2 separate regions of the Mus musculus genome follow, and region 1 is reported to be linked to region 2. Evidence: microRNA targets listed by miRTarBase, many of them from high-throughput screens and not tested one by one. Region 2 holds a microRNA gene; the other region holds the end of a gene's coding sequence. Distances are from middle to middle.

Evidence for each region. The annotated mature microRNA mmu-miR-758-3p reads UUUGUGACCUGGUCCACUA and lies in region 2 at 1,133-1,151, opposite strand. An mRNA with a match to its seed (bases 2 to 7 or 8) in the 3' UTR can be bound and repressed. Matches are read on the target gene's strand: a 7mer-m8 pairs with bases 2 to 8, a 7mer-A1 pairs with bases 2 to 7 and ends in A, and an 8mer does both.
Region 1: the mRNA of Dact1 is a reported target of mmu-miR-758-3p. Seed matches in the 3' UTR shown: 7mer-A1 at 2,212-2,218.

What each region holds. Positions count from the first base shown.
Region 1 is chr12:71,318,674-71,321,744 of GRCm38, reverse strand. It overlaps Dact1 (dishevelled-binding antagonist of beta-catenin 1), which reads right to left. Exons shown (of 4, transcript NM_021532.4): 4 at 1,638-3,071. The coding sequence ends at 2,851. Among named protein-coding and RNA genes, the nearest start is that of Dact1, 10 kb to the right of the region's middle.
Region 2 is chr12:109,710,899-109,714,008 of GRCm38, reverse strand. It overlaps Mir758 (microRNA 758), which reads right to left and starts at 1,199; the gene lies at 1,119-1,199. It overlaps Mir380 (microRNA 380), which reads right to left and starts at 2,206; the gene lies at 2,146-2,206. It overlaps Mir1197 (microRNA 1197), which reads right to left and starts at 1,692; the gene lies at 1,573-1,692. Mir323 (microRNA 323) reads right to left here and starts at 1,501; the gene lies at 1,416-1,501. It also overlaps Mir329.

The sequences.
Region 1 (3,071 bases), 38 Mb from region 2:
GCTAAAACACCATCACTATGACCAAAGCAACTTAGAGAAGGAAGGGCTTATTCTGGCTTCCGGTTCCAGAGCATCATCATCATCATCACAGTGGAGAAGCCTGGCAGCATTCACGCCCACATGGTGGTTGGGAGAGCCAAGAGCTCTCCCCTCAAACCACAAGCAAAAAGCAGAGGGAGAGTAAACTTGGAATGGTGCGGGTCTTGAACCCTCAAAGACAGTGACGTCAACTGGGGACAAAGCATCCAAGTGCTTGAGACTGTGGAGGACATCTCAAGTCACCAGGCCGTTGGACAGAAGTGGGACATCTGTCATAGAGATCCACAAAATGAAAGATGCATATGATAAAATAAAACACAAGGTTGGAAACTTCATTTTCATGAAAAAGGGCCAAGGGTATTAGTATATGTACATTGCATATAACAGTTTTTATGGAGATACACATCCCCCAAGTGCAGGATTGAGAAAGAATTGAAGAAGTTTGTTTTTGTCATTATTTAAGTATTATTTGGCTAGTTCTGTTTTTATAATGAGCACAACTTTTTAAAATAAGGAAATATTCTAAAGAACTCTTGTTTACAACAATAGCAGGTGGCCTGACATCCTCTTCTGGCCTCTGAGGGCACCAGGCATGCACAGAATGCATAGACACAAATGCAGGCAAAACATTCAAACACATACATTTAAAAACAAACAAGCAAGCAAACCGGTTAAAGGTTATCATGTAGACTCTCTCAGGCCCGTTGTGATGTTCAATGAGGAAGAGAGAGGCACAAGGAAAGCTCTTTCCTTAGAATGTTAGTGAAGGGGGAAGACGAAACTGGTTTTAGAAAACCAGTTTCATTTTTTAACAAGGCAGTAACTCAGGCGAGGATCAGCAAGGTACACTAATACGCCAAAGTAGAATTTGAAAGACATAAAGAATCTCCCATCAGCCGGGTGGTGATGGCGCACGCCTTTAATCCCAGCACTTGGGAGGCAGAGGCAGGCGGATTTCTGAGTTCGAGGCCAACCTGATCTACAGAGTGAGTTCCAGGACAGCCAGGACTACACAGAAAAACCCTGTCTCGAAAAACCAAAAAAAAAAAAAAAAAAAAAATCAAGGCCAGCCTGTGCTAAATAGTGAATTTCAGACCAGCCTGGGCTACAGTTTAGACCCTGTCTCAGAAAACAAATAAACAAACAAACAAAACAAAGACAGGTAAGAATTACCTGAACTTAAACTACCTCAACTTTTAACTAAGGAAATGTTTTGGGGGACTGAAGAGATGGCTTACTACCTATGAGCCCTTATTGCTCTTACAAAGGACCTTGGTCCAATTCTCAGTACCGACAGAGGAGTTTCCAACCATCAGTAACTCCCGTTAATTCTTGTGACCTCCACAGGCATCAGCCAAACACACGGTCCGCATCCACAGATGCAGGCAAAGCACACCAGCCAAACACACGGTCCGCATCCACAGATGCAGGCAAAGCACTCACACACAAAAATAAAACTCATAAACCTAATTTAATTTTTTTAAAAAAAGGTTTCCGATTCATTATCCTCTCTGAGCTGGGTAAAACCTATTTAATTATTGCAAATAATATTCTACTCTAGAACAAGTCTAATGTAAATCTCAAAAATAACACCAACAGCCAGCACAAGATTTATAGGTGTAAACATCTGGTTTTTATAACAAATAACAAAGTTTAACAGCAATAAAACAAATCATTTAGTACAGCATATAATGTGTTATATTAAATTTACACAATGATATATATAAAACACATACTGTTTATATCATACAGTAATTCAGCAACAGGAATATCAAAACAGGAATCCAAAGAACTACTACTCATGCACAAAACATGCATATATCAGTATTTTAAAAACTCTATTTTACACAATACTGTTTACCAAAAGCTTTTTTAAAAAATGTAATGCCCTTCCAGATAAGTCAGCGGTCCGGTGAGGGTTGAACTGCACTACTGTTCAGGCCAGTGCTTGGTGAGAGCAATTCTGGGCTTGGAGTCAAGCCCAGTAAGGGTGAATTTCTTTGCACCAAAGGACCAACACTTTATCCCAAAGACAAGCCCTCTAAGGGACAAACAGTTGTATTGGCTACAAATTAGGAGCAGAGAGATAGAAAGGCATCAAAAACTGCTGGATATATGGCCCATGAAAGGGCTACTGTAACGAAGGCGGAGGCACTACAGGTGGCAAAGGTTTTTGTGAATCCTTTTAAGGTCCTATCAGTCTCCCTATCCAGTTTACCACCTCCAGATTAAAAGTCTGGTCTACTAAGTTCTAAATCCAGTAAAAAGTGTACTTCTAAGAAGAAAATAGGATGGAGAGACATCTGAGAGTGTTGTCTATAGTAAAAAATTTACAGAAAGCAATGACTGTTTTGTTTGTTTGTTTGTTTTTTCTACCTACTCTACACAATTGTATGCAATGCCCCTCAACCGGAAAGCCCTTTCAGGGACAAAGCCCTAAAGGATCAAGGAGCGAGTTCACGGCTTAAAAATTTTATCCACGAACCTTGGAAACAAAAGGTCTCATCCAAATAAAACTTGAACATCACACACCTGTACTTGGCCAGACACTCGGACGAAACATCTGATAATCAAAATGCATTCACTATCACCACCACTAAGACCTCAATATTCACTTCTAACTAGAGATACATCCTTCACCTTCCATTAAAGGCACTAGCGTCCATACATGACCGCGAGACATAATTTATCTTGGGTTTATCCTAGTGAAAGGAAAGTATTCCATTTAAGTATGACACAAATATTAAGACAACACCTTTTTCTTTTTCTCAGAGACTAGGGGGAGGAGAAGACACTCGCTACATCAGCTACTCAAACGGTAGTCATCAGTTTCAAAGAGCCAGAGCGGAAACGGAGGATCTTCTTCTTGAGGTTGTGCGAAGCCTTGATTTTGACAAAGGTTTTTGTGGGACGGGTGTGGAGGTCTGGGGCCGTGACCGTTTGAATCGGGAGAGTCTGGACAAACTGGGACCAGATTAAACCCCCGCTCTCCTCTGAGTCGCTGGTGGTGGTGCTCTCGCCCACGAAGTCGC
Region 2 (3,110 bases):
GTTGAGAAGTCCTCCTGAGAATGGACAAGATACTGAAGGTTAGAAGCACAGGCAACAGAAATCTGATGTATGGGATGGGTTTTGTCCGTCACTCACTTGTTCATAACTATTAGTGTGTCCTCAGCTGAGGCTGAGGTATGGACCAGAAGGCCTCCATAGTTTGTTCTGATGGGAAGAGAGGTTGACCAAATGTGTTTCAAACACAGAAACCCCTCTTCCACATCCTCAGTTAACAATAACAATGACACCTTCCCAAACTGGACCTTCAGACCTGGCAGGCCTGGGAGGGTTTAGAGGACAAAGGACACCATTCAGAACGATAATCCACTCGCTGGCTTTGTGGAGAACCAGTTATTCCTGTCCCCTGGCTGGATGCTGACAGGACCATCCTTCCCTGAGACTGGGATCTGGACCACGAAGCCTCCAAGATGGGATTTGATACTGAAAAAAAGGTTAGCTGGGTGTGTTTCATTCTCATCAAAGAAACAGAGACCCAGAAAACCTCTCTTCCGGTACCAGAAGCGAACACTGACAAGACTACCTCGGTAATTCCCCAACGTGACCTTCAGACCTGGCAGGCCTGTTGAATGCAGGGTTGCACACTGGATGTTAGTCAAAGTGCTCAAGCAAGCCATTAGTTGATATATATCTGACAGCCATCCCATCACATGCCCCAGTACAGCAGACCTCCATGGCATGATCCTGAAGTTATGTCACAACCAGAGAGCAGTGGCGCAGTAGAGACTGGCTATAGGACTTACCACCATTTTGGGTAACCACAGAAAGGCACAGATGCCCCCAAACCAAAGATGATTCCTCCCACAGATTTAGCATGCAAGTGTGCTAAGGTGACCTGCGACCTGTGCCATATATAAATGGCATACACACACCCTGGTCATGTCTGACAACATGGTACGTTTCTTGAACTTGGATGGCCCCATATCAAGGAAGGGATCCAAGTATAGGACAGCATTGGAAGCCCATCCAATACTACCATAACAGGCACATATGTTGCAAGTACTGAGGATGCTGTCTCCAAGTCTAACAGCGTACAGCTGGCTTATTGCCTCTGTCCCCAAAAGTTGAGATCTCTTCCAGGAAGTTCTCCAAGGGAAGGTTAGATACTGAGGGTTAGTGGACCAGGTCACAAACGGCACAAATATAGCGTGTGCTCTCTGGTCAACCACCTCACGCACCCACACGTGTATCACATGTCGATGCCACTTTCCTGGTCTGCAAGTCACCCTGCCCACGAAGCTGCCAAGCCAGAGAAATTTGCTGAGAAGAAGGCTGCCACACAAGAGTTATTGTCAGACACAAGAAAAGACAAACCCGCTGGCTGGGTTGCGCTAGCACACACATTTAGTGTCCCCACCCCACAGCTGGTGTTAGCTCCAGGAAAGCTCGCAAGGCGGGATTAGATACCGCAAAGAGGTCGACCGTGTAATGTGCGCCATAAATGAAGCGAACGCGCCACGGACCACCTCTCTCCAAGTACCAAGCAGCAGCAGTAGGAAGACCGGGACACTGGCTCTTCCTCAAAGCAGATGTCACCTCCTGGAAGTCTTCCAAGGCGAGATGTGATATTGAGAAGAAGTAGACCATGTGTCCTACGTCATAAATAAAGCGTACACACCATGGTCAACCGCATCTTCAAATACCTTGAGGTAACGCTGGCTGATTCCAGCTCACTTTACTTAATTTGGTGTTACCTCCAAAATGCCTTCTCAATGAGTGTCACAAACTACCAGCAATCGGCATGTGTGGCAATGGCCACAAACTCATGTTTAATGCCACTATGACTTCCAGGATGCCCTGTAAGGCTGGGCTGGGTGCCAAATATTGGCTTTGGATCAAATGGCCAGAGTCGTAGGTAATGAACATGGCCTGTAGCCAAGCACTGGGTAATCTGTGTTGGATAGGGTCTGCCGCCTGAGCCCTACTCTCAATTGGTATGGCTTTCAGAAAGCCCCTGGTGACCGGCTGATGCAGAGATGTGGTGGACCATGCTGTACATGCTGGAATTAACGCACACACTCGACAGTCTACCATCTCCCCAAGTACTGTGCTGAAGCCAGGACAGGATATCTCCCATGAAGTTGGCTCGGTCTCTGGAAAACCCTCACGAATGACTTTGATAACGAGAAGATGTGGACCATACTACATACGACACAGAAGTAGCGCATGTTCTATGGTCAACCATCTTTTCAGGTACCATGGAGAGAGGGTGGTGCAGGAGCTGGCTTCTTTCCTCATGATTATCACTTCCAGGAAACCCTAGATGCAATGTTGAAAAGAGACCACCATGCATTGCCTGCTGCAGATGCAGAGAATATAGCAAAGAGAAGTTTGCAAGGACGCGAAGAGAAGACCCCGTAACTAGCACTGTGCCTTTAAGGAAATATTGTTCACAGGAAGCCCCCAAGGCGCATTCACTATTATGGGAAGGTGGACCAAATTAACATGCGCTGTAAGTAAAGCAAGAAGCATGGACAACCTCTACCCCAAGGCATTTGTCCTTCTGCCTTGCCCCCCCACCCCCAAGGTTAATGGGGCCTCTTTGGAAACCTTCAAAGCTGAAGTTGATATTGAAAAGAGTAGGCCAGGTTACAAATGGTGTTAATAATACACATGCAGTTTGCTTGATCCCTCTTCAGGTACCGTGAGGTCATTGCTGATGCAAGAACCAGAGCCCTGTCTCTGAGGCTAGCAGCATCTTCAGCAAGTTCTCCAAGGCTGGGCTGGAGGTAAGAAGAAGTGAGCCAAGAAGCAACTTTGATCTGTAAGCATACATGGAGGAGCCAGGCTGGGTCATCTTCCTCTAGAAGGCTAGACTTGATATGGAAAAAAAGATACTATATACGAAGCATCAGTGGAAACAGGGACTGTGTCTTCATGCATCTGTCTTTGCACTGTATCATGTAGCCCTAGCTGTCCTTCTATGGGCATAATGTCTTGAAGGCATCTGATGATAGCTTTGCAGATGATGAAAACACGCAGCATCCCTTGATGATGAGCATCTGTGGAGCTAATTGCCACTTTTTCAAGTCCTAAGGAGGGAGGGAGCATGCCCAGTTGGGATGTAGGACACCTTCCTGGAGGTTGTCATC